3 linked regions of the Oryctolagus cuniculus genome follow. The protein of the gene in region 3 purifies or fractionates together with the protein of the main gene of each other region. This does not show direct contact. Links are inferred from orthologs where the notes say so. Each region holds a gene or a part of one and is shown on either strand. Other genes may lie near its edges. The genes, in order: POP5, RPP40 and RPP14.

Region 1 (10,642 bases), on a different chromosome or scaffold from region 3:
TTTCTTCTGCCAGATGGCCAGGCTGTGGTGCCAGATGTGGGTTGCCAGCTTGATGGCCATTTACATGGTGAAGGAGGGTTAGGAACGCTGCCAGTCTGTAAGGAAGCTCTGAACCTGCCATCCCACAGGTCAAGCTTGTCTGATAGTGGCCTGACTGGTAGGGGCAGGAGTTTGGCTTGGAGAACAGGGCAGGGTGAAGGCAGTAGGTTGTCCACTGTCTTCCTCTTGTCTACAGCAGCTTTCTTATGCCTTGATTTGAGCTGAATTTGAGTGATGTGAATTGTTTTCTGCTTAATAAAATGAACTCTAGGTGTAATAGAATGTGAAGGCAAATAGTTGTAATAAATCACCTGCACAAGCAATGTCAGCTTTTCTGTTTTTTTTTTTTTTTTTTTTTTTTTTTTTTTTTTTTTTAAGTTCATTGCAGGTCAGCCAGACATATTACTTCTTGAAATAGGGTAAAGTAACAGCTACTATGAACTTAGGCAGTTCAGCCATCATGGACTAATGTCTTCTCTGGTATCAGGCCTAAAGGACTTTTTTAAAAAATATATTCCATTTATTTTGAAAGACAGAGTTTCCATCTGCTGGTTTACTGTCAAAATGGCCACAACAGCAGGGGCTGGGCCAGGGTGAAGCCAGAAGCCAGGAGCTGCTTCTCAAAATTCCTGCTGTTTTCCCAGGTATATCAGCAAGGAGCTAGACCAGAAATGGAGCAGCAGGGACATCCCTTGTGGGATGCCAGCCCTGTAGGTGGCAGCTTAACCCACTGCACCTCAGCAGCCCCCCATACACACCAGAAAGCCTCTTGAGCTGGGCCTAACTTTAACCATATAAGAGGTGGCCGGCGCTGTGGCTCACTAGGCTAATCCTCTGCCTTGTGGCGCCGGCACACCAGGTTCTAGTCACGGCCGGGGCGCCGGATTCTGTCCCGGTTGCCCCTCTTCCAGGCCAGCTCTCTGCTCTGGCCAGGGAAGGATGGCCCAAGTGCTTGGGCCCTGCACCCGCATGGGAGACCAGGATAAGCACCTGGCTCCTGCCATTGGATCAGTGTGGTGCGCCGGCCGCAGCGCACCAGCCGCGGTGGCCATTGGAGGGTGAACCAACAGCAAAGGAAGACCTTTCTGTCTCTCACTGTCCACTCTGTCCAAAAAAAAAAAGAATATGAGAAGATAAAGATTTATTTATTTATAAAGATAGATTAGATAGATTTATTTATTTAAGAGAGAGAGACCGTCTTCCATCTGCTGGTTCACTTCACAGATGCCTGCAACAGCCAGGGCTGGGCCAGGCAGGAGGCAGGAACCCAGTGTGGGTCTCCTGTTTGGGTGGCAGGGATCCAGCTGTTTGAGCCAGTCCTGCTCTAGGGTGTGTACCTTAGCAGGAAGCTGGAATCAGCAGTGGAGCTTGCAGTCAAACCCAAGTTCTCTGTGTGATACACCCTAAGCAACACCTTAGCTGCCACACCAAACACCCGCCCCCCTTTTTTTTAAGCCTGAAAGATTAGGGTCACTGCAGCATATCTGAGGTTCTTGTTCCTCACTTCAAAGGTACAGGTGCAACTCTGGTTACTGATAATTCTTCAGTCAGTGACTGTTCATGGGCGTATGACAGAGGATCCAGGAGCTGGATGGGGAAGGCCTGTGAGAAAGGATGTGAAGACTCCTGTGCTCAGCTCCCCAGAAGCTGCTAGCCTGTCATTTTTAAAGGAAATCTCAGGTCAAGGACTCTTGAGGGAGGTTGTGTTCTGGTCCTGAAATTAGAGGACACAGTGAAGCAAAACAGCTTTATGGGGCCAGCGCTGTGGAGTAGTGGGTAAAGCCTCTACTTGCAGCGCCAGCATCCCATATGGGTGCTGGTTCAAGACCCAGCTGTTCCACTTCCGATCCAGCTCTCTGCTATGGCCTGGGAAAACAGAAGAAGATGGACCAAGTCCTTGGACCCCGGTATCCCCGTGGGAGACCTGGAAGAAGCTCCTGGCTTTGGATCAGCGCAGCTCCGGCTGTTGTGGCCAATTGGGGAGTGAACCATTGGATGGAAGACCTCTCTCTTTCTCTGCCTCTCCTTCTCTGTAACTGTGACTTTCAAGTAAAATGAATAAACCTTAAAAAACCCAACTTTGTGACTGAGGGACCTTTGAATGACATCATTTTATTATGGAGAAAACAGCCAAGAAATGTCATGAGGTAGCAGGACAGAGCTGGTTAAAAGTCCTTTGGTCTGATGCCTGTGAGTGTGGCAGTTACCTGTCTTCAGGTGTAAGGAAATAAGAATGGGTGGAACTACAGAAAATTCCCAGCCTGGCAGTGAAGTCAGGTGAGGCCAGCCTATGCCACAAAAGTGCAAAAGCTGCAATTTTTTTTTTTTTTTTTTTTTTTTTCAGAGTCAGCTGCTTAGGTGCTAGCAAGGAATTTGATATTTCTAAGGTATTTGGATCATTACTGAGACTATGGATCTGTACAAGCTGGTTGCTATGTCTCTTCACATTTCTATTCCAAATGAGCTCTTTTATCTAGGGCTACACGTGGAAAGCTAAATATTCAAAATTCATCTGGTGTTGGGGTGTGCCATTTCAAGTCCCAGCTGTTCCACTTCAGTTCTGGCTCCCTACTAATGTGTTCCCTGCACTAGTGTGCAGTGGGGGATACCCCAAGTACTCGGGCCCCTGTCACCCATGCAGAAGACTGGGATGCAGCTCCTGGCTTCTGGTTTTGGCCTGGCTCGCTCTGGCTGTTGAAGCCATTTGGGGAGTCAGTGGATGGGAGATCTTTCTTTGCCTTTCATATCTTTTAAAAATATTTTAATGTAGTGTCACATAGGAGCAGTCTTCCCACCAAAGCCAGGGTAAATGCAAGAGGAGACTTGGCCAAGCATGAAGTGTATAAGCCCTTTTGTTATTATGCTCAATGCTATAGAAACCAAATTAGACAAGTAATTAGATACAAGACTATCCACAAGTGTAGAGCCTTTACAACCCGCAGAACCACTTAACCAGAAACACTCTGTAAAAGCAACTCCAGGGTTTCAGGTGAGTGTGGCCTCCAGTTCACGCTGGAAAATCGAGCCCTGGCTGGCTGCCACCCAGTCTGAGCAGTTCACGACGCCATTGCTTCAGCAGCTTCCTCACCTCCGCTGTCGGAAGCCCCTTCCTCTTCAGATGACTCCTCTAGTAAACAGCTCTTCGCCACTGACTTCTGGATAGCTTCCCGCTCTCCTGGAAAGAGGCAGAGCAGAATAAATGTCTTCGAGCAATCTCTCTGCACGAGGGCAGCCCGCTGGTCACTGCTCAGTGGGCACTGGGCTACTGTTGCTTACCTTCATCAGTGCAGTTCTGTAACAAGATCAACAGCTGTCGCCTGTTGTACTGAATCAGGAACTTCTGACATGTTCTGATTGTACCTGGCACATGAAAGACATGGAGTCAACAGCTTGTGAATGTCTGCTTTACAGACAGAGCTAGGAGGAATTCTCTCTCAGCACGCGAGCAGTCAAGGTAAATGCTGAGTCTGTCACTTAAGATTCAGCAAATGCACTACATGCATGCCTACCTCCCACGTGTAACGTGTTGAAAAAACAAGGGTAACGGTGTCCTTTGCTCTCCAAATACGTGATGAAGGGAAGCGCTGACCACACCAGCCGGTAGAATTCCTTTCGGCATCGAAGCAGCACTATTCCGGTATAAGCATTGAGGTATCGAACTACAGCAGGGGAGAGATCATTTTGGAAAACTTCGGATTCACAGGTGGTTAGAAGCCTTAGGGTAACGGAGCCTGCTTTGTGCCAGGGACTGTTCTAGACAAATGGCACTTGGGATGCATCACTGAGGAAAAACAGACTCCTAAAGAAAAACTTCAGACGAGACCTTCATTTATGGAATGAGGATAACCACCAAGGCCTTGCACATCACTTAGAATTGGTAAATGAATCGAGAATCTAAAATGCTGTTCTATTCAGTGACTTTACTGGGAGGAGGGGGAGATGATGTTTCAGCATGAAAAAAAACCCTTGTCGGGGCCAACCTTGCAGTGTGGCAGGTGAAGCCTGGGACACCAGCATCCCGTATGGACACTGGTTCAAGACCTGGCTGCTTCACCTCCAATCCAGCTCCCTGTTAATGCACCTGGGAAAGCAGAGGAAGATGGCCCAAGTGCTTGGGCCCCTGCACCCATGTCGAAGAAGCTCTAGTTTCATTGCTGCCATTTGGGGAGTGAACCAAGGGATGGAAGAGGTCTCCCTCTCTGACTTTCAAATAAATACATTTTTAAAAACAAAAGCCCTCGTCTGGGGGCCGGCACTGTGGCTCACTTGGTTAATCCTCTGCCTGTGGCGCCAGCATCCCATATGGGTGCCAGTTCTAGTCCCGGTTGCCCCTCTTCCAGGCCAGCTCTCTGCTGTGGCCCGGGAGTCCAGTGGAGGATGGCCCAAGTCCTTGGGCCCTGCACCCGCATGGGAGACCAGGAGGAAGCACCTGGCTCCTGGCTTCGGATGGGTGCAGCGCCGGCCGTGGCAGCCATTTGGGGGTGAACCAACGGAAGGAAGACCTTGCTCTGTCTCTCTCACTTGTCTATAACTCTGTCAAATATATATATTTATAATATATATTATATATAATACACACATATATAATATGTATATATAAAAAAAAGCCCTCGTCTAATAAACGGGCTGTTTTACTGCCGTTGGGCTCTGCAGGCTCCTGTGGCCGCCAGCGGGTCTCACCTGATGGCAAGAGGTCACCTCCGTGCACTTGATTCTCCAGGACCCTATGAGTTCACGGTAAAAGGAACTAAATGCTGGAGTAGTCCGGAGGGCGAACAGCCTTTTTTGGTGCCTGTCTATCCTGCACGGAACTTGTACCCAATCGTGGGCTGTACGTTACTATTAAGGGCTTTTCTGAGGTAATTACGACCTGCTTTTTCCCATGTGATGTCAATGTAATCGGTCAAATAATGGCTCTGCCTAGGAACTATATACGACTTTACTCATTTAACTATGTTAAGTTCACTAACAAGCCCCAATATGCAGACGCCACACAGGGTTTTGCCCGAAGTCCCACTGCCTGCGGGCCCCTGCTTTAGCTCTGCCTAATTTCGGACTCGTGTGGACCTCCCACGACCGAAGGGTGCGCCCGGGCTTGGCCTCTCCAGGGCTCGCTCGTGCCACTTCTTCCTCCCTCCTCCAGCGCCTGCTCCTTCCAAATCCCGCCGTCCGTCCGGGTTGCCCCCGCGCCCTCGCACCTGCGAAACCGATGGAGCAGGCGGCCGCGCCGAAGGTCCCGTGCACCCGGGCGATCGTGTCCCGAATCAGGCCGACCAGTACTCGGTCCTCCAGAGTCAGGCGGCAGCGGGGGTCGTCGGACACCAGTTCGCAGAGCAGGTACCTGCCGCAGGCCACATGGGGGTGAGCGCGCGAGCCGGGGCCGGGGAGACCGGGGGTGGCTCTGAGGGTGCGCAAGGAGCCGCTTACCTGTGCTTGAACCGCACCATGGCTGCCGCGGGGCCCGCCTTCCCGAAGGGCTCACCGGATGTCGGTGTCCTGCGGCCAATGGGAAGTTTGCCTTCGCCACCTTGCAGCCACTCCGAGAGGGAGCCAGGAGAGGAGGGCGGTGCTAGAAAATTGAGAGGCCAAGCTCCGTGTCAGTCTCCCTCAAGCTCCGCCTCCGACGGCCTTTGTAAGAGCGCATGCGTCCTTTTGCCGTCCCGGGAGGTTGTGGTTTGGGGGCTGGACTCGGGGCTGCGATGGGCGGTCCCTCGCGGTTCACAGTGTAGGAGGCGGCCGGCGTCGGGGGCGCCCGGCGCCTGAGGGCGCGGTCACACACGCATTTATACTCCAGGCTGAAGCACAGGGACTGACACACAGCAAATCGGACACTTCAGGTTAGAGCGCGGTTTAATTCTTCCACTCAAATATGCTGTTACTCTTTGGGCCTTTCAACAGTTTTGTGGAGATGGGTGCTTTGTCACCTTTTTTTGTTTGTTTGCAAAAACTGTTGTCATTGTATTTTCCGCTGTAACCGCAGGACTGAGAGAGCCGCTTATCACGTAGTTTCTTCCGTGGTTTCCCCCTGTGCCCGCAGTTCTCCCACGGAATTCCCACTCATTCAGGGAGACTCGGGATTATTAATTATAATAATATTAATAAGTGTAGTAAGATGTCAGTTTGCCTTCTTCACCCTCTCAGAGTAGACCGTAGAGTTTTCCAGAAGCCACATGGTATCTGGCATCGCCGCTCTGAGGGCTGATGAAATCGTCTATTGTGTTTTAAACAGTTTTTAGTTTTAATCTCTGAGGTAGACATTGATAGTTATCAGCGCAAAAACAGACGCGCTTCGGAATCCTCAGTAATTTAAGAGTGTAAAGAGGTCGTGAGGCAGAGAGCGGCTTTTGAGAATTGTGCCCATGTGAAGTGGTGTTTTTCCTTTTATTTTCTTTGTAAGCATCGTGGGTCATACTGTCAAGCACTTTTTCCTTTTCACTTGAATATTTTTAAATTTCTCTCTTGTTGGCGCCGGCTGTGGTGCAGTGGGTTAAAGCCCTGGGCTGAAGCACTGGCATCCCATATTGGTGCTGGTTCATGTCCTGGCTGCTCCACTTCCGATCCAGCTCTCTGCTATGGCCTGGGAAAGCAGTGGAAGATGACCCAAGTGCTTGGGCCCCTGCACCCACATGGGAGACCTGGAAGAAGCTCCTGGCTTCGGATCGGCGGAGCTCCAGCTGTTGTGGTCATCTGAGGAGTGAACCATTGGATGGAAGACCTCTATCTGTCTCTACCTCTCTCTGTAACTCTGTCTTTCAAATAAATAAAATAAATCTTTAAATAAAAATCTATTCCTCGCTGAGGATGGAGCAAGGCTGAGAAATTGTTTTCCCCATGAATCTTAAAAAAAAAAAAAAAATTGGAAGTATAGCACCTCTCAGCGAATTCCTAGAGACTCGTGTACCTGTCACCCACATTCCGGTGGAGAAAGCATTTCCAGAACCTGAGACGTTTCCCCGAGTCCCAGTCAGAACTCTTACCAGAAACAGCCACTGTTCCGACTTCCACCAGGACCAGTTAGTTTTGCCTGTGGGTGAACTTCCAATAAATCTACAGCATGTTTTCTTTTGTGTCTGATTTCTTTAACTCAGTAATTAAAAGATTCTTTTTTTTTTTTTTTTTTTTTTTTTGACAAGCAGAGTAAGATAGTGAGAGAGACAGAAAAGTCTTCTTTCCGTTGGTTCACTCCCCAAGTGGCTACTCCGGCCGGCGCGCTGCGCTGATCCGAAGCCAGGAGCCAGGTGCTTCCTCCTGGTCTCCCATGGGGTGCAGGGCCCAAGGACTAGGGCCATCCTCCACTGCACTCCCTGGCCACAGCAGAGAGCTGGCCTGGAAGAGGGGCAACCGGGACAGAATTCGGCGCCCCGACCGGGACTAGAACCTGGTGTGCTGGTGCCGCAGGCGGAGGAATAGCCTTTTTTTGTAAAATTAATTAATTTATTTGGAAGGCAGAGCTTGAGAGAGAGAGAGAGGTCTTCATCTGCTGGTTCACTCCCCAAATGGCTGCAATGGCTGGAGCCAGGCTTGTCTGAAGCCAGGAGCCAGGAGCTGCTTCCTGATCTCCCAAGTCGGTGCAGGGGTCCAAGCACTTGGACCGTCTTCCACTGCTTTCCCAGGGGCATTAGCAGGGAGCTGGAAGGGAAGTGGAGCAGCTGGGACTCGAACCGGCGCCCACAAGGGATGCCGGCCTCACAGTGTTGGATCTGGTGCTGTACCCACGAGGGCACAACGCCGGCCATCAGTATCCTGTTGATGGCTGTATAAATTACTTCCAGGTTTTCTCGTAGACTCAATGCTTTGATGCATGCCTTGGAGCTAGGTCACTGATGCCCATGCCCTTGGCTGGCCCTGCGAGGTCCATGAGGGGAAGCACCTTTCACAGCCGACTATTTGCCAGGTCTAGAAGGAGTTCTTAGCCTTCCCATCTCCCACTCTTGTCACCTTAAAGGAGGGAAGCTGAGGGAGGGAGGGAGGAGGCGTGCCCCGCGCCTCACCCGGAAACATCGTCTTGCGGCCCGCAGAGGGCGTCGGAGGCCCGCAGTGCGTGGACCCCGCAGGACCAGCCTCAAAGCACTCCTGAAGTTTTCAGCCTGTCAATCCTAGCGACGCGCGCATTTTGTAGACACAGTTGGGATTCAGACCACGGTCACGAGTGGGCGTCAAGGAGCAGGTTCGGGACTCGAACCCACAGCCATCCGACTCGAGCGCTGGCTGATGTCGTCTGCACGGTAGGACCGCCGCGGGTTCGAATCCCTACCAGGAGTCCTCAGGGAGGTTGAGCCGCTCCTCCAGGCCTCAGTTTCCTCGTCTGTGCAATAGGATAATAAAGGTTCCTCCGACTGGAAATGACCAGGAAATGGGAGTTAAGCACCTGGCCCAGGGAGCGCGCGGTAAGCACTCTGTTCCGAACGAACGATTGACTCCTCGGGCTCACGCACAGCCCCGGAGGAAACACTGCGGCCCTGGCAGCCAGCTCCCGCGGTAATTAGCCCGCGCCGGCGCGGGCTCAGGCTCCGCCAGCCGCTAATTACACGTCTCCTAATGAGGCCGGCGGCTGCTGGCAATCACCGGGGTCCCCGCCGCGCGCCGCGCGGGAGGCCGCGGGGGAATCCGCCCGCGGAGGCGTGGAGGGGCGGCTGCGTGCTCCGTGCCGCCCCCGGAACGCCAATGCCACGGGGCTGAGATTATCCCGCCTCAGTGCCGGCGCGGCCTGGGCCTCGGGAGGTGAATGGAGCGGAGTCCGGTGGGCTCCAGGCCGATGCCGGCTGTGTGTGACCCGTGAGCAGGTGCCCTTCGCGGGTTCACATCCACTGAGGATCTGTGGGAAAGTCGCTGTTTTAGTGTCATCATTACAAGTGCTCTTTGAAAATTTTAAACTCCCATTTGCTAGTTCCTCCTCAAATGCCTACAGCAGGTCCCAGACCCCTGTGGAACTCAATCCAAGTCTCCTACCTGTGCCGCAGGAGCCTTGACTGCTGGGGCCTTCACTGCTGCCCCCCCCCCCCCCAGGGTCTGTGTAAGAAGCTGAAGTCGGAAGTTGGAGCCGGGAATCAAACCCAGGTCCTTCCAGGTGGGACATGGGCACCTTCGCTGCTCAGCTAACCACCTGCCACCTGCACCTGCACCTGCACCTGCACTTGTTCCTCTGGGACTTGGCAGAGGGGTAGATCCTAGACCAGAACCGATGATCAGATAAATAGACGCCTCTGGGGCTTGGGAAACTTCCTTTTAGTTCCTGCCCCTCCCCCCCAGCTGAGGGTTCCACTCTGTTTGCCCAGTCCTATCCCACAAGAAATTGAAACGTTAGTGTCAGCATGGCCCTTAAACCTTGGAAGCTCAACTCAAACGACCCATTTCACAGCTGGGAAGTCTGCAGCATTCCCTGGGAGGTGGTAGGGGCAGCTGCTAAAATGTTCCCGTTAGCATTATTCCTTGGGCCTTGGGGGAGGGTGCCATCCTTATCTCTTGGGCTGCTGTTTATTGGGCTGTCACCACATGCCAGCCACTGCCCTGGGCACACTGTGTTTGACTTCCTTTCACCCGCACAGCCCTGTGGAGATAGATCTTATTCTCTGAGGCCTGGAGACAGAATGGACTTGCCCAAAGTCCCACAGTAATGGGGGCCGACTTCTGTCTTATCCAAAGATCTGTGCTCTTAGCTCTTAGCTCTTTGCTCTCTGCACCGCATCGTGGGAAGTCCAGAGCCCAGAAGGGTGTTTGAGGAGGGAGAACCCTAGGGGGGAGCTGTTCCCAGGCCCCTTTGGCGTCTGTGGAGTGAGTCCTTCCTGAGTCGACGATGCTGTGCTGTGTAGGGGCAAAGGGAGATTGGATCTGCTTCAGTGTTTTGTTAAGCAGCCACTTCTTATTAGGGGCTCCTGCTCCTCTAATCCTATCAACCAATTTCCTGTAAAAGCCTTACAGGGACAGTCTAGATGAAATTAAGCCCTCCATCTGCTTGGCCATGGGCCTGGGGAGCCACCACATCCTCCAGGCCCCTGAGACAGACACAACCTGGGTCTCACTCCTCCCGCGTCCTTGGTGCCTTAGGAACCTGGCCTCCTGTCCTTGTCTGCAGTGAGGATTCGTCCATCTAAGAATTAGCTTAGAGTTCAAGGTCACGACTGCTGGGCCTAGCAATTTCTCCAGCAGGAATTACTCCCACAGAGGTGCTGGCCCTTAGGCAGGTGAATGAGGATGCATGGTGCGGCAACGTTGGTGATAGCGAAAGGCTGCCTGGTGTCTCTGGGGAAGGGTCCACTCCGTGGGTGTTTTATATTGGACACTTATGTGCCAGAGAATGTCCTAAAGACTTTGCATAGAGTGACTCATCCAGTCTTCACCATGACCCTGTAAAGAAGATACTTGATTTTATTCGCCCTACGTTACAGATGAGGACACGGAGGTTCGGAAGACACAAGTCACTCACCAAAGTTTCCTCTAGCTAGACGAGCAGGCCGGGATGTGTGCGTGTGTGTGTGTTTTAAGATTTATTTATTTGAAAGGCAGAGTTAGGGAGGGAAAGATTTATTTTATTTATCTGAGAGGCAGAGTTAAAGAGAGAAGGAGAGACAGAGAGAGGTCTTCCATCCGCTGGTTCACTCCCCAA
Region 2 (10,591 bases), on a different chromosome or scaffold from region 3:
AAGACGCTGAGATGCTCACGTCCCATCGTGGGTTCAGTATCCAGCTCCACTCCTGACTCCAGCTTCCTGCTAACGCAGCGCCCAGGCGGCAGTGAGGATGGCTCGACTAACTGAGTTCCTGCCATTCCACGGAGGAGATGCATGTGGGGTTCCTAGCTCCTGGCTTTGGCCCCGAAGCTGTTCTGGGCATTTGGGAAGTCAATGGGGCCTCTCTTTTTCTTTCAATAAATAAAAAAATAAAGAACAGGGCAGGGGTCCTTGGGAGGGCCGCTATAATCCACCTATGGACACAGTGGCCTTCTCTACTGATGCCCAGCCCAGACACTGACAGCAGAACATGTCTTCACTCACGGATTCCTATTAGGAATCATAAAGACTTGGGGAAAAAAAAAGTCAAAGGAAATTCTTTATTAAGAAGTAGTTTTAGGGGCCAGCACTGTGGCGTAGGGGTAAAGCCACCACCTGCAGTGCCAGCATCCCATATGGGCACTGGTTCAAATTCCCACTGTTCTACTTCCAATCCAGCTCCCTACTAGTGTGTCTGGGAAAGCAGTGGAAGGTGGTCCAAATCCTTAGACCCCTGCACCCACATGGGAGACCTGGAGGAGGTCCCTGGCTCCGGAGCAGCCCAGCTCCAGCCACTGCAGCCCTTTGCGAACCAGAGGATGGAAGATCTCTCTCTCTCTCTCTCTCTCTCTCTCTCTCTCTCTGCCTCTCTGCGACTCTGCCTTTCAAATAAATAAATAAATCTTAGGCAAAAAAAAGTTTTAGACTCTTACTTTGGGTTCATTACTTTGAATTTTTGACACAAAGCATACATATCTAATGAAATAGTCCAATTATATGTTCTTTATAAAATGCAGTCTACAACTGAAGAGAGAGATTTAACAGCACAATTTTATCCTTTGCTAAGTTCAATTGGTTGAGACAAGGAAAATCCCTATGTTTCTGAACAAAGAGATGAGAGGCAATTCTAACATTTAAAATTAAATGGTCACAGGAAGGTAACTAACTTGTTGGAAACTGATAGGGCACAAATCATACTTACTAAATCTCATACTTTTTCTGCCAGAATACTTAGATGGATGACCTTCAAGTCCAGTTTCTTCATAAGTGTCTTTATCCAGGGATAAAATTAATTTTCCTACAAATCAAATAATACCCATAAAGTAGACACTAAAAATTCGACGCAGGGTTCTGACTACACAAGTAAGCAAGCCAGCCAAACTGAACAGCTAGCATACAATTACCACATCCATGTAATAAACTGCATACAAAGACCTAATTTTTAAGGCTATGACTTATATATACACACATCTTATTACAGAATACTACTTACATATTAAAGAGACAATGCTGTTACTTATAACAGTGAACCTAGAGATAATCCAAATTTCTATTAAAGAAAGAATAAACAAATCAAGACCCACTTGGTCTTTTGAATACATTCAGGACAATAAAAACAGTAAGTCAGAGCTGCAGTCACGGCCCAGACCATGACATTTTGGTCAATGAGGAACCGCATATTCGAAGGTGGGTCCTCTACAATTATAATGGAGCTGGAAAACACCTATCACACAGTTGCACTGCACCACACACACTCCTCACATGTCTCTGGTGATGCTGGTGTAAACGCGTCTAGTGCAGAGCACAGACAATTCCGTACAGTGCACCACACTTAATGATAAACTAGTTACCGGTTAGTGTATTTACTACACTATTCTTATTAAGTATACGCTTGAATACACACACAAAAAAAATGGGGGACTGGCATTGTGGTGCAGCTGGTTAAGCCAGCACCTACAACGCCAGCATTCCATGTGAATGCCAGTTCAAGTCCTGGCTACTCCCCTCCCCGCCCTGCTTTTTTTATAGAGTGCCTGGTTTTAGTCCCGGAGACTCCATTTCTTCTTCTCCTTTTTTTTTTTTTTTTTCTTCCCTTAAAAGATTTATTTGAAAGGCAGAGTTACAGCAGGGCAGAGAGGGAGAGGAAGGGGGAGGGGGAGTGAACAATCAGAAGATCTCTCTTTCTCTTTGCCTCTCACTCTGCCTTTCAAACGAATAAATAAACCTTTTAAAAAAAAAAAAAGTTTAGGGGTCGGCGTTGTGGCATAATGGGCAAAACTGCTGCCTACCAATGCTGGCATCCCATCCAGCTGCCAGTTCATGCCTGACCTACTCCACTTCCAAACCAGCTCACTGTTAACAGCCTGGGAAAAGTAGAAGATGGCCCGTGTACTTGGGCCCCTGCCACCCATGCAGGAGACCTGGATGAAGCTCCTGGCTCTTGGCTCCTGGCTTTGGCCTGGCCTAGTGCTGGCCATTGTGGCCACTGAGGGAGTCAATCAGTGGACGGAAAATCTTTCTGTGTCTCTCCCCCTCTCTCTGTAACTCTTTCAAATAAATGGATACATTTTATAAATATTTAAAAGGTTGCTATAAAACTGGGCGGGTATTGTGGCACAGTGGGATAAGCTGCTGCTTAGGACACCAGCATCCCATAGCACAGTGCCTGGGATCAGGTCTTGGCTCCTCCACTTCTGATCCAATTTCCTGACTGTATCCTGGAGGCAGCAGAAGATGCCCAAATCCTGGATCAGAGCGCCAGTCTGATTCAAGGCCCCCTGCTCTGCTTCTGATCCAGTTTCCGGCTAACACACCTGGGAAGGAGCAGATATGGCTCAAGTACTTAGGCCCCAGCCACCCTCGTGGTAGAGTCAGAGGGAACTGTAGCCTTCTTCTGGCTTTGGCCTGCCGGGCCCTGTAGGTTGTGGGCATCTAGGGAATGAATCCGCATATAGAAGATTCTCTCACTCTGGTTTTCAAGTAGATGAAACTAAGTAAACGGTAACAAACACACACACACACCAAGTCTGCCACGCTGCGCTGACAGCAGCCTCGTACACCTGGAGCCTGCCCTGCCTCTTGATCCCATCACCTTCCTTGTGCTTGGTTTGATTTCATCACGGCCCTGGGAACCACCGGCTACCCCGTACAGCTAGGTGTGTAGCAGGCTGTATCATCTAGGCTTGTGTACCTACACTCAATGGTTTCCATACAACCACAAAATCTCCTATTGATGCCTTTCTCAGAACACAGCCTTGCTGTTAAGCAATGCATGACTGTATGTGCGCTGATACAGAAAGTGTCTACGCTAGGTACTTCATACTGAAGTAGTATGATGGAATTTACATTATAAACCTTCTTTGTGCGTTTATAAACTCACTGAAAATGTCTGGGAGGGAAAACAGCAAGTTATTCACAATTTCCTATAAGAAGCAGGTGAGTCTGGAAGGAGGAGTTAAAAGGTGGTGACCTCATGTTTTCTAAACATTATGCATTTCTCTTATAATTAGAAAAAGAAAGAAAAATCAGTATTGTTACCATTTGGTAGCAAGGCGACAGTATTATCTTCGTCAATGTTTGTGTTGTATGTTAGTGCATAGCACGAACCTGTACGAGAGAAGTCCAAAGAAGAGATTAAGACAGCAGAAAAAAAAAAAAGAAAGAAACCACATCTGCATAATATTAGTGGATTATTTTCAGGTGATAACAATCTTCCACGCAAATAACAGTCAGTACCTGTCACCGTTCCAGCTCACTCAATAAGGCCAGCACCTGCAAAGGGTAACCTGGGACGTACAGAAGGCCAGCCTCCAGCCGGTTCACTCTGCCACCAAGGGCCCATTTGTGCAAGTCCCCTATTATCAATCAACAAACGAACTCAGCCTGGAACACGCGCCCTGGGGATGCAGGCGGAGAGCGACAGGTAGACACAGGTCAACGTACACACCTCAAGGCGGCGTTCCGACTTACACTCAAAAGCTCTTCCACTTCCCCACGCCTCAGCTCCCCAGGCCTACTTCATAGAGTCGTTGCGAGGGCTAAATTAATAGGCTACTGAAAAGTGCCTGCGAATGTCCACGCTGTTAACAAAACAACTTCAGACCAAAGACGAAGGCCCCGGCTTCACAAGCAGCCCCGCAGTGTCCGGCGGGGAGGCTATGAGCACGGGACTTCTCGCCAGCTCGCCTGAGAGCGCACCACGGGCCCTACAGCAGGACAAGTGCGTGGCCAGGGTGCGGCGGTCACGAGAGCAGAGTGGGCTCCCTAAAGGTTCCATCAACACGGCCTCACATGGATGGCTCCCAGGAGACAACTGCAACAAACCAGGCAGCCTGGCTGAGGCGAGGTGCGCAGAGCGGGAGGGCCCCGCGTCTAAGCACTCAGCTCCGGGAAGGGCAGCTGCGCCGCATCAGGAGAGTGGGCCGCGTCTTCGCAGCCACCCCCCAACAGCAGGACCCCGATCGCAGACCTCCCTCCTCCATCAACTCCTGCTTTACCATGAGGGGTACCCCACGTTCAACATCCGCACCCAACACGTGTGGGCAGGTCTAATCAGAAATCCCCACGGAAAGAGGGCACACCAGAGAGGAGGGTGACAACCCCGCGGAGTGGGGGTAGTAATGCACGCCCTTCGACACACAGGTTACCCCCACAGGGCCTGCCTGGGACAAGAGGAACCCAGTATTGTGACAGTCTCCTTGGACAACCACGCCTTGTCCCAATGTCAGCAATGAGCCATGCACATAGTAGTCCCATGAGAGCCAGTCTCCTGGCTACATCACTGCTGTCTTAGTCTGCATAAGGACACCATGCAGCTTCCACAACAAAACCGCCCCCGGCCACCTTCTAGAACACACCCCTGCCTGCTCACACGTTGTGCGGTTTTTCATACCTTTCTTCACAAAGGTGTTGATGAATTCAGGTGTGATGAATTCATGCAGAGGTAAATTCTTCACAAGATAATAGGGCCCGAGCTCCGTGACCAGGCTCTTCAGTTCCTTTGGTAGCAAGGCACATTCCGGAATGAGAAACGAAACCTAGTGGGACACGTACAAACTCCGTCTCACTTTCACCACCAACAGCCAGGTGTTCGGCAAGGAGGTGAGAGCGTCAAAGTGGCTGCTTCTCCAGTTTTTACTGGAATACATACACGGAGGTGGCGGAACGCCAAGCTCACCTACTGATTTCAAGCACAGAACCTTGACAAGTCAAGCTTTGCATTTCTGCATGCAAACAGAGTGAAGACACGAAGCAGAAAAAAAAAAAAATCTTTTTAAATTGTTATTTGGTGACTGGCGCTGTGGCAACAGAAGGTTGAACCTGCCCTGCCGGCACCGGCATCCCATGCGGGCGCGGGTTCTACTCCCGGCTGCTCCACTTCCCATCCAGCTCCCTGCTAAGGCACCTGGGAAAGCAGCGGAAGCTGGCCCAGTTGCTTGGGCCCCTGCACCCACGTGGGAGGCCCGGAGGAAGCTCCTGGCTCCTGGCTGGCCCAGCCCTGCCCTGGCCACCGAACCAGCAGATGGAAGATCTCTCCCTCTCTCTCTCTGCATTTCTGCCTTCCAAATATTTTTTTTTAAATCTTATTTGAAAGGGAGAAAGAGAGAAATCTCCCATCTGCTGGTTCACTCTCCAAATGCCTGCAACCGAAGCCAGAGCCAGCAATGCTATCCAGGTCTCCCATGCGGGTGGCAGGAAGCCCATCGCCTGAGCCACCTCTCCTCCTCTCGGGGTCTGCATCAGCGGGCAGCTGGAGTCAGGAGAGGGCTGACCATCGAACCCAGTCACTTCCACGTGGGCGCGGGTGTAGACGCCAGCCGTAACTCTTCACCACGGAAGGCTAGTTCTGTGGGGTGTCTGCGGCTAGGAAAGCAGAGAGCTCCCCGGGCCTGGGCACGGCACAATGCTCGGGGAAGGCCCCCAGGCACAGGCGGGTGCGGGACTCAGCACCACAGGGAGCCGGTGCGGAGGACGCCGCGCGAAGGGAAGAGTTCCAAGCGGCCGTGGCCAACCACCCCAGGCCCGCACACCCCTCTCTCCGTCCCAGAGCGGAGAGCCCAGGACACGAGGCACTAGCCGGCGGCGCTCCGGGAAACAGCGAGAGGCGCACCCACCGCTCAATCCCTCAACAGCGGTGGGCACGGCGCACCGCATCCTGGGAGTTGTAGTCCTCCAGCCCTGAGAGCTAAGAGTCCGGGGCCGAGAAGAGACTACAATTCCCATCATGCCGCCGCCTGCCCCGCACGCCCACGACGGTCCCGCCATAGCGAAATCTGAGCGCGGCTGCTTCGGAACTCTGGACCGCCCGCGGAGACGAACTCACCTTGTAATTATAATAGTGCGTCTCCACGAAATGCCGGTGGCGGGGCCTTGGATCGTGGAAACTCGACATCACGCAGGATAGGAAGTGCTGCGGCGTCTCTCGCAGCCGGCGCAGCGTGGCCATGCTCCCGCCTGTTGCTGCCGCTCCAGAGCTCCGCCCCTTCCTTTTATGCCCCGCCCCTTCCTTTTATGCCCCCGCCCCACCCGCGGGCATGCGCAGTGCGGCTCGGCAGCTGCCCGGCGGGACGGCGCTTCTCGCAGCGGTCTCCGGGCCGGTTCCGTGAGGAACCTCCGCTGACGCTCCTTGGCGCGCGGCGTCTGACACCGTGAACCCACCGCCTCCGATGCGGAGACGACGCCTCGGCGGCCGCTGACCGGCCCCGGGCGGCCTCAGAGCGCGGTGGCCAGCCGCGGACCCCAGTGGCCGCGTCAGGGAGGACCGCCTGGACCCTCGCTTTCCCCCGCGACGGTCGCGGCTCTGAGGGGTCACCACCCGGGCCTTTCGGGTGCGCGCCGGGGTCTGCGCTGCTGCGAGCTGCTCGGGCTTGGGGGTGCGCAGCAGTCGGACGTGGGTTGAACGGCGTCCGCGAATATCGGTTTTGTGGTGACAGGATGAGGAAGAAACGGGGGGCAGGGGGTTTGCAAGGTAAGCATTGGAAGTGTAACACAGGCTGGAGAGGCGTCTGCATTAAACACAGCGATCTTGGGGCCCGGTGTTGCGGCACGGTAGGTTCTGCCCCCGTGACGCCGGCATCCCGTGTGCAGGTTCGAGTCCCGCTCCCGCTCCCGCTCCCTGCTAGTGCCCCTGGGAAAGCAGCGGGAGATGGCCCAAGGGCTTGGGCGCCTGCATCCGCTTCGCAAATTGGGATGGGAGTTCTGGGATCCTGGGTGCTGCCTGGCCCAGCCCTGGCCTTGGCGGCCGTTTGAGGAATGACCCAGCAAATGGAAGGAATCTGGCATTCTCTGCCTCTCAAATAAATAAATATTAAAAAAAAAAAAAACACCTCAGTAATCTGCCTGAAATGCCAGACTTAGTAAAAAAAAATACTAGTGAAAACCTATGTCTTATTATTTTATATGGGAAAATTAACAAAGCATAGGAAATCCATCAACAGCTCAAAATCACAATGTGGCACCAAGGTGTAAGCGGCAGACATGATGGGACGTGCAGTGCTCGAAACACTGCGACTGTCACTTCACAGACGGTGTGGTGGTTCATGAGCCGTGGCCGGGTGTGGTGGTTCATGAGCCGTGGCCCGGTGTGGTGGTTCATGAGCCATGGCCGGGTGTGGTGGTTCATGAGCCGTGGCCGGGTGTGGTGGTTCATGAGCCATGGCCCGTGTGGTGGTTCATGAGCCGTGGCCGGGTGTGGCGGTTCATGAGCCGTGGCCCGGTGTGGCGGTTCATGAGCCGTGGCCGGGTGTGGTGGTTCATGAGCAGTGGCCCGGTGTGGTGGTTCATGAGCCGTGGCCCGGTATGCCACAGCAGATATGTGCATCTTCGTGATACTCCAGAGCCCTGTAAAGTGACTGGTATGATTCTGATGCCAATTGTGTTTGGAGTCAACGTAAAACATTTCCAGTAAAACATTTAGCATAAGATGACCCTCTTCTTTGAAGGCCCCCAGGAAATCTTATCTATGTGAATATCAACTACATTTTTTAAATTTATTTATTTATTTATTTATTTTGACAGGCATAGTGGACAGTGAGAGAGAGAGACAGAGAGAAAGGTCTTCCTTTGCCGTTGGTTCACCCTCCAATGGCCACTGCGGCCGGTGCACCGCACTGATCTGATGGCAGGAGCCAGGTACTTGTCCTGGTCTCCCATGGGGTGCAGGGCCCAAGCACTTGGGCCATCCTCCACTGCACTCCCTGGCCACAGCAGAGAGCTGGCCTGGAAGAGGGGCAACCGGGACAGAATCCGGCGCCCCGACCGGGACTAGAACCCGGTGTGCCGGCACCGCAAGGCGGAGGATTAGCCTACTGAGCCGCGGCGCCGGCCCAATAGCAACTACATTGAGAGCTGAACAGCTGCTAGGCAGTTTGGGTATTAAAACCCAAGCGGTTCCTCCACAGAAGTGTTCATCGTGGAAGCCTGTAATGTGAAGTAAATGGCGAAAGTCTCACTCATGTTACAGATTTAAAGATGGAAGTTCTAATGCCAAGTGCATGTGTGGCTAAGGACTCCTCTCAGGCCACAGCCCCCGAGTTCTGGAACTGTTTATAATGGTCCCCTGCCCGTGTTAGCACACAGACACGCCTTAGCGTGCACTCAACGGACAGCCTTTACCCCAGATTCTTTCTTTACCATTTTGTTCCTCTCTCCTTCCGTGAGCTCATTCCTCTCTGGCCTTCCTCCCTACCACGTCAGGGAAAGGCCTCTGTGAGGGTCAGCAGTGAGCGCCACGTTGCTGAGCACTCTGTCCCTGACTCAATCTGTTAATTGTTTTTGATGCCGATGGCACAGTTGAGCACTTCTCACTCTTGAAACCTTTCCTGTGGATCTCCACTCTCCTGGATCCCCTCCTCGTCCCGATCTCTAGTCCCCAGCCCCTTTCCTTCCTTCCAATTTTTACTTTTGTTTGTTTATTTGTTTGAAAGGCAGACAGAAATGTCCAGTGTGCTGGTTCTCCCCACAAAAACCTGCAGCATGCCCCTGCCAGAAACCTAGAAGTCAGCCTCGGTCTCCCTGCTGGGTGGCAGGGACCCAAATGCTTTGACTGTCACCAACTCCCTTCCTGGGTGCGCATCAGCAGGAAGCTGGAATTGGGGCAGAGCTGGGACTGGAACCCAGGCACTCCAGTATAGGATTCGGGCATCTGACCTTTAAGGCCCAATGCCTGTCCCCCCACTTATCCATCTTGTATATCTCAGTTCAGAGTCTCACAGCTTTAGGACCAGCTCTCTCCAGCCTCTTTCCTGAGAGGAGCCCCAGGAAGCCACCCCGAATCTCTTCTTCCTGCCTGACCCCATACACAGCCCCACAGCAGATCCTGTTAACTCTGCCAGCAGCATAAGTCCTAACTGCAGCCTCTTCTTGCCGTCTCCATTGCTGCAACCAGTTCGAACCACCTTCCTCTTACTGGTCTACCTGCCGAGAGAGCATTCTAACCACCTCCTGCTTCCTCTCTTGTTCTCCTACAGTCCATTTTTTACTGAGCTTCCAGTGATCTCTTGAAAATATGAAAAACATGACATATGCCCCACCATCCCAATTTAAATCCCTCACCACTGGCCTCTCACTGTCTCAGAATAAAATCTTAGACAGCAGGGCCAGTGCTGTGGCACAATGGGTTAACACCCTGGCCTGAAGCACAGGCATCCCATATGGGTGCCAGTTCTAGTCCCGGCTGCTCCTCTTCTGATCCAGCTCTCTACTGTGGCTGGGAAAGCAGTAGAAGATGGCCCAAGTCCTTGGGCCCCTGCATCCACGTGGGAGACCTGGAAGAAGATCCTGGCTTCTGGCTTCAGATCCGCACAGCTCCGGCCGTTGTGGCCATCTGGGAAGTGAACTATCGGATGCTCTCTCTCTCTGCCTCTCCTCTCTCTGTGTAACTCTGACTTTCGAATAAATAAATAAATCTTTAAAAAAAATTAAAAAAAAAATCTTAGCCTGGCTCCCTGCCTGCCTCATCCTCATCTCCTCCCCTTGTTCATACTGTGTATGTCAGATTACCTGATCTCTAGAGCAGAAAGCAATCTGAACTGAAAGATATTAATATCATATCATAGAATCTAGAGCATGGGGCATAGATGGAAAAGTTTTAAGAGGGAATGAAGGGCCAAAAATCAATAAATCACACACACAACAGTGAACACAACTCTTCTATGTGTCTATATCCAAAGGAACGGAGCAATGAAATTTTTAAAAAATCGAGCTTACAAAAAAAATCAAAATCCCTTTGACCGTGTTCAGTAAACATAAATACAGACTTAGTTAATACAGAAAAGAATAAAAACTTTACACGTCACATTTCTAGGCCAGAAGGCAATGTAATTAGAAACAACAGACAGAATTTAAAGATGCCAACTCCTTGTAAATATTAAAATTTTAAGTGATTTAATGCCCGGGTCAGGTGCCAATCCAAAACACACGTTCCTGATAAATACATGTGCTTGCAAATATCTCAGCCAGCAACAGGTGGAACTGTACTGATTGGGGGAAAGCACTGACTCAGAGCTGGCCAGCACTGCCCTGGAACCTTCCAACATCGTCTCATTAGAATCAGGGGCAGCAGTACAGGGAATCCTGACTGTTCCGTTCAGAATCAGAGGACTCCCTCCTGCTGAGCCTGAACTTGACCTCAGAGCCCTTTCCAACAGAGTTCCAGCAGTTGCTACCAGTCACTTGGTGTTGGCTTTCGATAAGAACCTCCCTCAGCACAGCAGGACTTGGCACCCACTGCTGCCGTGAAAATCGT
Region 3 (9,833 bases):
CGACCGGGAGGGAGGAGCCAGGCCGGAGGAGGTGCTGGGGGGCTCCAGCCGATCGTCCTCCCCGGTGTCGGTCTCGGCCGCGCCGGGCGGCCGGGAGGACTAAGCGGGCCCAGGGGACAGTGTGCTGCATCAGCGGCGGTCGCCACTTGGAAACGATGGAAAACGCAGGTCCCTAAGTCGCTGGGGGTTGATTTGTTGAAATAATTGAGTGAAAGTGTGGAGACCGCCTGCCGTATGCGGGGCCCTATTGTCGGTCCCTGGAGAAGGGCAGTGAGCCGGACGGAGCCGTGGACACCCTGCCGGGGCAAGGAGAGGAGGAGGGGGAGAGAGAACGTGAATTGCGGGTCTGTTACTAGCTGGCAGACGCCCGGGGTGGGGGGTGGGGGGCGAACAGGGCCCGAGGCGGGGCCGGGGGTCGTCGCGGTGTTAGGATGGGCACCGGGCCACGTGGAGGGGAGTCGGGGAGGCCTAGAAGGAGGCGGCGGGAGGAAGGGCGGTGCGTAACTGGCGGGAGAGCCTGGTGCGTGCGCGGCCCGTGTGCTGGAAGGGACGAGTGCGGGCCGTGGCGGGAGCAGCGGTGCGGGGTGCGGGAAGGGCCTCCCGGCAGGCGCACCCGGAGTCTGGCCTCGCTCTAGACAGATCCGGAGAGTGGGGTCTGGTAGATTCTGTGGCTGCGGGGGAGGGGCACAGGGGCGGAATCGGAGACCCTTGGTACCGACAGAGCAGTTTCTAGGCTTCCCTGCCGCCCCTGAGAAGGCTGGCTTCAGAGGGGAAGTGGACCGTGACTCCAGGCGTGCTTCCGTTTGGTGGCGGGCCTGGGGGCCGTGCCAGGCTCATCTTTACTTTCAGAACAGCCTGCAGAGGGCGCTGGTGTCACTGAGGAGTCCGGTTTTTGGCGAGCTCATGTGTTCCATGAGTTTGGAGAGGTGTTTTGTTTTGTTTGTTTGTTTCTTTTTTTTTTGGTAATATATGTGTAAGGTAAAACATCGTTTGATCCATTGTTTTTTTTTTATTTATTTTTATTTTTTGACAGGCAGAGTGGACAGTGAGAGAGAGAGACAGAGAGAAAGGTCTTCCTTTGCCATTGGTTCACCCTCCAATGGCCACCATGGCTGGCGCGCTGCGGCCGGCGCACCGCGCTGATCCAAAGCCAGGAGCCAGGTGCTTTTCCTGGTCTCCCATGGGGTGCAGGGCCCAAGCACCTGGGCCATCCTCCACTGCACTCCCGGGCCACAGCAGAGAGCTGGCCTGGAAGAGGGGCAACCGGGACAGAATCCGGCGCCCCGACCGGGACTAGAACCCGGTGTGCCGGCGCCGCAAGGCGGAGGATTAGCCTAGTGAGCCGCGGCGCTGGCCTGATCCATTGTTGTGTGCAGTTAGGTGGCATTAAGTGCATTCTGACTGTTGGGCAGCCACCATCGGTATCCATCTCCCAAATGCCCAGGGTCAGCAACTCCTTCGAAGCACTTGGAAATACTTGAGAAAGCACCTGTCATGTGCCAGGCACTGAAAGAAGTAGATGCGATTTTTGCTGTTTTTGCGCTTCTGGTTAGGCGGGGCTCTGGGGGCAGGTGGACGGTCACTGTGCTGTCCTGAAGCCAGAGGCGCAGTTGAACATAGGGTCCCCCGCTGCCGCCGTTCTCTGAGCTCTGTGTCCTCCAAGCCAGACACAGAAAATGCTGAGGTCTGTTGAATGGATGTGTGGATGGAGCTCCTGCCGTCCGGCTTGTGCTTGTCTCTGGGCTCTTCGTCTGGAAATGGGCCTGAACCTGAGAGGTTTTGAAAATGCTCGTCTGGATCTCTGTGACCTTGGCTTAGTTCTTCTCTGTGCTTGGGCCTCAGTTTCTGGGTCTCGGCAGCGGGGAGCCCAGATACTAAGCAAACAAGCAGTGTCAAGACGTCCTATAACGTGAGCATTCCCGAGAGGGCGGCAGAAGGGCTCGAGGGGGAGGCCGGGGGAAGAGGAACTGGAGGGCAGCACTCTGCGGGCCTCGAGCGTGCTCTGAGTTCTCGGAAGGCCCAGACCTCAGCAATGGCTCTGAGTGCCCATTCCAGGAATTCCTCAGTCTCTCACGGAGCTGCCAGGTGGTCCTGCCCAGACCTGACCCTGGACCGAGAGCAGGTTCACCTGGAAGGGGGGCAGCCAGCTGCTTGTTCGTGCTCTGGGCTGACTCAGAGTAAACCAGAAAGGGGCCCGCAGGTCTCAGGTTTGGCTCCTTTATGTTTTCATTTTTTTCCTCTGGATCCAGAGGCACCATTCCAGGGCAGTCTTGCCATGGCAGAGTAGGTAGAGCCTGGGCCAGGCGCTAGCCATGAGGGTGGTAATAGTGTCTGCCTCATAAAATCGCTTTGAAGGCGCAGAAGCTAAGGCATGTGCAGTGCGTAGTGCACACTGGGTGCTTAGTAAGGAGAAATGGGAGCTGGCTTGTTACTGAGGTGGAAGTGAGGGCAGTGGTCTGGCATATTGAACAATATAGCAGCTTCCTTGTATCTGTGGGGTGACCTGCATTTGACCAGAATTAGATAAGTTGCTGTCCTAAGAAGTCACTTTAAAATAAGTCATATTCTTATTAAAAGTGTGAAAAATAGCATTTTAATTTTTAAAGGTTATTTATTTGGAGGCAGAGTGATGGAGAAGAGGGGAGAGACAAAGAGAGCTCTTAGCTGTTGATTTGCTCCACCCCGAATTGCTGCAACAGCCAGGGCTGGGCTGGGCAGGAGCCAGGAGTAGCAGAGGCCCAAGCACTTTAGCCATCCTCTGCTCCTTTCCCAGGCGCATTAGCAGGAACCTGGATCAGAAACAGGGTTGCTGGGGTTCAAACTGGTGCTCCAATATGGGATGCTGGCATTGCAGGTGGCAGCTTAACCAGCTATACCACGATGCTGGCCCCAAGAGCACATGTCTTGGTAATCTCCATCCCTCTTGACTTGCTGTAGGTGTGATCAGCATTGGAAAGGATGGAATTCGAAGAGAGCTGGTCTCAAAGAATAATGCGCATAGATCCCTCCGACTACCACTACATGAAAGTCTGCCTGTGAGTTCAGTCTCCTAAGTTCTATTTTAAATTACTTTTTAATAGACTTGAGCAGCATAAAATTTAACATAATGATGTCTCCCTCTTTCTTTTTTTCTTTGTAATATTCCTTGCAGAGAATTTGAAGAACACGGAATTGGACTGAACGCTGCACAGTTCAAGCAGCTGCTTGTCTCAGCCCTGCAGGAGCTGTTTGGGGAGGTAGGGAGTCACTAGATGCAGTGGACAGTCTGACGTTTCTTTGTAAGAAATACAGAAAGAACACTTTCCAAATGTTATTTTAAAACTGGATTTGGAATCGCAGAAGCTGACTTAGAAATCAAGAATTTGGAGCAGGTTTGTTCTAATGTGCCTTCTATTTGACAAGGATCTTGTTAGACAGATGTTGTGTTCCAGCTCAGAGATACTCAAGGTATGGTCCCAACTTGACAGCCTGCAATCTGTTAGGTTTATTTGTTTGCCAGTCTTCAAGATAGGAGTTCACACCAGAACCAGCATGCTACTTCCGTTGATGAGAAAGCTTGTAAGAAGGTGCGAGTAAACGAAACATGCAGTTGCTGTTCATTCTCACAGACCAGCACCTGGTCAGCTTGTCTTAGCATTCAGTTGAGAACAGAAATAGAAATCTGAAAGCTAAGCGAGAAGACAAGACAGGATTCTCAGCAAACTACTTCCTGGTTCATGTATTGTATCAAAATTTGCTAAGTTCCTTAGAAAATATAAAACTTGTGCTCTGTAAAAAACCTTGCTAAGAGGGTGAAAACACAAATTACAGACAGAAAAGTGGTGTTAATAGATAAGTTTATTTTGGTGCAAAAAATTTTGAAATCCATGCATGGTTTGTCCATAATAGGCATTTTCCATGAACTTTTTGAACTTCCCTTGTGTTTACAAAGCACATATCCAGCAAAGGACTCAAATCTAGAATGTAGAAAGAGCTCTGAAGACTTCATAGTAGGTGTGGATGTTACAGTGTGGTGTGTTGATCTGCTGCTTAGGACGCTTGCATCCCATATGCAAGGGCCTGAGATCTAGTCCCGCCCTGCTTCCCATCAGGCTCCCTCTAGCGCGCCTGGGAGGAAGCAGATGATGGCTGAAGTACTTGGTCCCGTGCTACAGTGTGGGAAACCCGGATGAAGTTCCTGACTCCTGACATTGTCCTGTCCAGCTCCGGCTGTTGCAGGCATTGGGGAGTGAACTAGCAGATGCAAAGTCTCTCACTCTGTCTCCTTCTGTCACTCTGCCTTTCAAATAAATAAATCTTTAAACAACAACAACAAAAACTTAATAGTAAATAACCTAACAGTCAAACTAGAAAGTGAACAAAAACCATGAAAAGACATCTCACTAAAGAGGATGTGCATTTGGCAAAAGCAGCTGAAAAGATGTTTAACCTTACCTATTAAGGAAATGCATGATAAAAACACAATGCGAAATCAGTGTGTACCTGGCAGAATGAATGAAGTAGAAAAAGCAGTAATACTAAATGCTGACAAGGAAGCAGAGAAATTGGGTCCCTCATGTGAACTGCAGCTGCTCCGCTGTGTGCTTTAGCAGCTTCTGGAGAAAACTGAGCAAGCACCTACCTCCCAGCCCCGACAGAGCACTCCTGCGCACTTACTCTGGAGCAGTGCAGCTTGTATGTGCAGATGTTCCAAAACCTAGACACACCTCGGCTGTCCTGCAGTGGATGAATGAATGAACTATGGCACAGTCCTACTGTGAAGTATACTCAGTGGTAAAAAAGGATTAACTGTTGATGCACACAGCTTGAATTTCCAGAGAATGATGCTGAGTTAAGAAAGTTATCCTGGAATATTATACACTCTTGAAATAGCATCATCATATGATTTGGAGAAAGATCAGTGGTTGCCAGAGTTTAGGGACAGAGTGGGGGGGGGGGGGCCACGAGGTGTGGCTATAAAGGGGTTGGAGTGAGGGGATCTTGAAAGGTTCAGTTTTTTTGTCCTAATTGTGGTGGTAGTTACATGAAGCTACCTGTGAACTACATACAACTAGCAAATACAAGTCTGTGTATAACTGGTACAGTATGAATTGAATCTGTATTGTACCAGTACCATTTTCCTGGTTTTGAGACTGTGCTGTGGTCATACAAGACCCTGACATTGTGGGGAGGTGAGGTGAAGGGTGCTTGGAACCTCCTTGTACATTCCTCCGTAATATTCCCTGAGTCTATAATTTTTCTAGATAAATTTTTTAAAACCTGTGCACCTTCTATGTCAGGTATGAAACCTGATTCCTGGATCTATACCTGTAAACAGATGTGACCTCTGCCTCACAGTCTAGTGCTCATGGTTCTGAGATAGGAAAACGTGTCCAGCACTGACAGTGAGGAGGAGGCGGAGGAGGAAGAGTGGTGTCCAGTGGGGGAAGAGCACAGCGAGCAGATTGAGCCTCATGGTGAGGATCTGGGAAGAGCAGGTTAAACCAAGGTGAGGAGGCATCAGCACATGAAGAGGTTTGAGAGGAGCATTCTAGGCAGGGGAGCGGTAAGACAACTCAGTGCCAGCACCACTGAATACAATGCTGCTTTTCAAAGGTGGCTCAATTATTTGGGTCCCTGTCACCCCTGTGGCAGACCTGGAAGAAGCTCCTGGCTTCCTTAACTGTAACAGCCACCTGGGGAGTAAACCAGCCAATGGGAGCTCTCCCTCTCCTTCCTTCTCTGTCCCTGTAACTCTTTCAGATACCTAAAATACTTCCTTTTTTTTTTTAAAGATTGGTGTTTGTTGTAGAGGAGAAAGACTCAAAGAATGGACAGGGTTAGTTGTTAGAGTTGAAGAGTAATGATGATAATAGTCTGCTGATAGCGTCCCCTCATATGTAGGTTGGTGCCGCCCTGCCCTTCGACGTCCTCACCTACGAAGAGAAGACCTTGAAGGCCATCTTGAGAGTATGTAACAGGTACGGCAGCTAGTGGGGCATTTCTGGTCTAACAGGGCAGGAAGGCTGGTGGGGAGGTAGAGCAAAGATGCTTTCTTCTGAGAATGAGAAGAACGTGGTTGTGTGTTCTGAGCAACTTCTGGGAGTTTGAACTGGAGTGGATATGAACGTTCACGGCCAGCTGCTGACCGTCTGTAGAGAGGAATGTGGGATTTGGTAATAGTTAGAGGGCTTCTCGTTTGCTGGGATGACTACAAAGTCAGAAATGTGCATTTTAGAAACAGTCTTACTGGAGGTTCAATGATTCTCTGTGACACATTATGCTTTTTATTTTGGGTTGGTAGGGGTTGTTGATTTATTTAAATGAGGCTTTCTAGTAAGAAAGCAGCCATTGGAGGGGCCACGCAGACAGAAGTGCTGGGGAGGTAATGTGGGGACAGAGCTTTATTTATGTTTCCTTGATCTTTCTGCAGTGGTTTTGTCAAATTGTGGAGCTCTCTGACCATGTTAGGATCCTATAAAGGCAACAAGTGTGCTTTCCGAGTGATTCAGGTAAACCATCCCCTCACGTACCCTACAAGGCTGCGTGGCGGTGAGCTGCTTTTCAGCGTGTGTGAGGGAACTTCAAAAAGTGTATAGAAAAAGAAAAAGGTTGATTTAGGTGCAAGACGTTTTGAAATGCATGCCCAGCTTCTGCATCGCACTCATTCCCCACTGGCTTTCTGAGGTGTCCTCGTGTGCTTCCTTCTTGAGCTCGAACAAAACTGGGCTGGTTACCGCCATCTGGCTAGGAAGAAGCACAGAGTCCTGCAGTGACATGGGAAAGGGGAGAGGGTCGGGGATAGATTCGGACTCTTGTGATAAAGGCTTCATGTTTCCTTTAATGCTGATGCCTCGTGTGCTAGGTGGTGGTCTGTTGTGTCTGAGCTTCTGACCACTTGTGTAGCTGAGGATGCCCGTGACAGCGCCCTGCCTCGGCTTTGTTTACCCTGTGAGTGCCGTCTCCTCACGAGGCTGTGTTAACCCTTTGTCTGTCTTGTAGGTTTCTCCATTTCTCCTTGCGTTATCTGGTAATAGTAGGGAGCTCGTGTTGGATTGAAATGTCAAGTGCAGACACCTTCTTCTGCTGTCAGAATATTCTTTGGCGCCCACCTAGCACCTGAAGGCAGAAGCAAGCCAAGAGCCACTGTGGGTGCTGAAGATGTTCCCCGTGATCTGCAGCTGTCGCCTTTGGTGGGGTCAGCTGCGGCGGAGCGTCTGCCTGAGTCGCCCTGTGCTGAGCGGGCAGCGCTGCGAGTGCGTGCACATCCGAGTTGGAGACCGGGCTGAACTGAGCAGGGCTTTCACTCAGAGCGACGTGGCTGCCTTCTCGGAATTAACGGGAGACGTCAATCCTTTGCACGTAAACGAAGAGTTTGCGAAGCACACCAGGTTTGGGAAGGCGATTGTGCATGGGGTGTTGATCACTGGACTCATCTCAGCGCTCCTGGGCACAAAGATGCCAGGGCCCGGCTGTGTGTTTCTTTCCCAGGAAATTCACTTTCCAGCGCCTTTATATGTCGGAGAAGTTGTTTTGGCGTCGGCGGAAGTGAAGAAACTGAAGCGGTTCATTGCTGTCGTTGCAGTGTCGTGTCGTGTAGTAGAAAGTAAAAAGACCGTTATGGAAGGCTTGGTGAAAGTCATGGTCCCAGAAGCTCCCAGATCCTGAAGTAGGTGTGCAAAGGTGCAAGTTCACACCCAAGAGCTGCAGTTATTAAAAAGCACCTGGCTTAACAGGGACTGTCTCTCTTCCCCGGGGGTGGCCTGTGTTAGGGGAGGGGTGTTCGAATGTGCGCTTTCCAGCTTGGCCACAAGTGCCACAGGCCAGAGTCTGTGCCCCAATCCATCACCTGCCGAGACTTGCAAACTGAAAAACTCCCGGGAAGGTTATTCATCTAAGGCTCAGCTTTGTGAATTTCAAACCCAGACGTGCGTTTGTTAGCACGAGTGTGCCCTTGTCTGTGCAGGAGTTTCTCACAGACGTCGCTAGTGGCATGCAGTAATAGGAGGTGGGTCATTTCTGAACATGTACTCTTTACCAGAAGTATTCCTGGGCCCTGGCTTTCAGTCATTTTGGGGTCAGAGTTCATAAATGTGACTGTTCACAACAAGACGACTTCCTGTCCACCTTCAGTGGGACCCACCTTTCAGGTTTCCTGTTACTGCAGAAGGGTTCATGTGCGGACTTGGACTTGGTTGTAAAAGCTGCCTGATTTATTAAGGGGTAGGGACACACACCACGTTGGGGTTAACGTGGGAGAGGATGGACACAGAGAGGTAGACGTGGGGCTGACCTGGGGGTGAGGTCGGCCCTGCTTACAGTGGAGCACATAACAGGCCAGTCTTTGAGGGTGATAGGCAGTCTCTGTTAGTACTCTGGGCAGATAATCAATGCAGAGTTTTCATTTTAGGAGTCCAGATTTTTGCCCTTAAAAATGTGCCTGTGTTTCCTGTTGTATAAGTATATGCCTGTTGTAAAGAAAAGAAGAAGTTAAGAAAAATATGATGAAGGCCACAAATGCAAAATTCTTAAGAGTTTGGGGATACTGAAGGGGAAACGCACCTGATGGGTTAATATCAAGTGCTTAGCACCAACACCGCCAATGCTTTTAAGATGAGAGCCTACAGCACCCTCCAGGTGGCCCACCTGTACAGCCTTCAGATGCTAACTCTGCTGCTAGATGTTTTGATTAAGGTGATCAGGTGTAACTGGTTGGTTCTGTCAGATTTCCTGGGATAGAGATTTTATTCCTGCTGGTGGTAAAGTAGATTTTTCAATTTTGGAGTTTTTTTTTTTTTACAAAAAGGGGAGCAGTTGAATTGATTACTAGAAGTAATCATTCTATTCACTAGAGGGCAGGGATGCATATAAAGTGAATACTTTAAAACTGAGCTCGTCACTGTGGCATAGCGAGTTAAGCTGCTGCCTGTAGCACCGACATCCCATATAGGCGCTGGTTTGAGTCCCAGCAGCTCCACTTCCAGTCCAGCTCCCTGCTAATGCACCTGGGAAAACAGCAGAAGATAGCCCAAATATTTGAGCCCCTGCACCCATGTGGGAGACCTGGATGAAGCTGCTGGCTTCGGCCTAGCCCAGCCCTGGCCATGGCCATTTAGGGTGTGCACCAGTGGATGCAAGATTTTTTGTCCCTCCCTCTCTGTAACTCTGTCACAAATAAATACTTTATTTTTTAAGAAAAAACTGTATAATGCTATTCCATGCTGCAGTTTATGAAGGTGGGAACAAAATGCTCAAGTCAACGTGAGGAGCCAGGGTGCTGTTGTGAGTCCCGGAATGGGCAGCTCGTGCAGGCTCAGGTGCTCCTGAAGAAGACATTTATAGGTAAACCACTAGATGTGCCAAGAATGTTACAGTAACAAAAGAAGACAGAACTCCAGACCGGGACCGCTTGCTCCTGGGGAGCCTGTTCCTTGGGCCTGGCAGCAGCCTTAGAATCATGGAGTCCACAGGTGGAGGGGGGGTGATCACAACATCAATACTCGGAGTGGGTGGTTTTCCTCACCCAGGGAGCCAGTTCTCTGCATTGATGCTAATCCTTGAAACAGCTCTGTGAAGTTAGTGTCCTGTTGTATAGGCATGGAGTTAGAATGATGCTGTGTGACTTACCCAGGGTTGTGCCCCTAATAGTGGTAGAGTTGGGGGTTCCAGCAAGGCCTTGCCTGGCTTCCAAGCCATTCTTTTGCCATCACCCTGTGGATCTTAAAATGTTTCCGTTACTGGAGCGCTGTCATGTTCTATAATGGTGCCTTGTTATGTGGCATTAAAAGCAATTAATTGGAATCATTCTGTAGAATTGATACATTCAGAACATTCTAGATCTTATTTCTTGCTCT

Evidence for each region.
Region 1: the proteins of RPP14 (region 3) and POP5 purify together in Homo sapiens (co-immunoprecipitation; 3 studies listed by BioGRID and IntAct, with this or other methods). This does not show direct contact. The link is inferred for Oryctolagus cuniculus from reciprocal best matches to the Homo sapiens genes RPP14 and POP5.
Region 2: the proteins of RPP14 (region 3) and RPP40 purify together in Homo sapiens (co-immunoprecipitation; 3 studies listed by BioGRID and IntAct, with this or other methods). This does not show direct contact. The link is inferred for Oryctolagus cuniculus from reciprocal best matches to the Homo sapiens genes RPP14 and RPP40.

What each region holds. Positions count from the first base shown.
Region 1 is NC_091452.1:16,597,291-16,607,932, forward strand, and holds POP5 (ribonuclease P/MRP protein subunit POP5), read right to left. Parts: upstream 5,615-10,642; 5' UTR 5,487-5,614; coding exon 5,467-5,486; intron 5,381-5,466; coding exon 5,238-5,380; intron 3,699-5,237; coding exon 3,549-3,698; intron 3,400-3,548; coding exon 3,316-3,399; intron 3,215-3,315; coding exon 3,096-3,214; 3' UTR 2,874-3,095; downstream 1-2,873. UniProt on the Homo sapiens protein: Component of ribonuclease P, a protein complex that generates mature tRNA molecules by cleaving their 5'-ends. Also a component of the MRP ribonuclease complex, which cleaves pre-rRNA sequences.
Region 2 is NC_091436.1:165,366,304-165,376,894, reverse strand, and holds the start of RPP40 (ribonuclease P protein subunit p40), read right to left. Parts: upstream 6,346-10,591; 5' UTR 6,293-6,345; coding exon 6,170-6,292; intron 4,884-6,169; coding exon 4,739-4,883; intron 3,454-4,738; coding exon 3,385-3,453; intron 1,145-3,384; coding exon 1,049-1,144; intron 1-1,048. UniProt on the Homo sapiens protein: Component of ribonuclease P, a ribonucleoprotein complex that generates mature tRNA molecules by cleaving their 5'-ends. Also a component of the MRP ribonuclease complex, which cleaves pre-rRNA sequences.
Region 3 is NC_091441.1:91,669,392-91,679,224, reverse strand, and holds the end of RPP14 (ribonuclease P protein subunit p14), read left to right. Parts: exon of another isoform or gene 1-344; intron 345-2,937; 5' UTR 2,938-2,958; coding exon 2,959-3,035; intron 3,036-3,151; coding exon 3,152-3,236; intron 3,237-5,883; coding exon 5,884-5,960; intron 5,961-6,412; coding exon 6,413-6,491; intron 6,492-6,981; coding exon 6,982-7,038; 3' UTR 7,039-7,140; coding exon of another isoform or gene 7,141-7,647; 3' UTR 7,648-9,180; downstream 9,181-9,833. Other genes in the region: HTD2 (hydroxyacyl-thioester dehydratase type 2, mitochondrial), read left to right, coding at 7,141-7,647. UniProt on the Homo sapiens protein: Component of ribonuclease P, a ribonucleoprotein complex that generates mature tRNA molecules by cleaving their 5'-ends.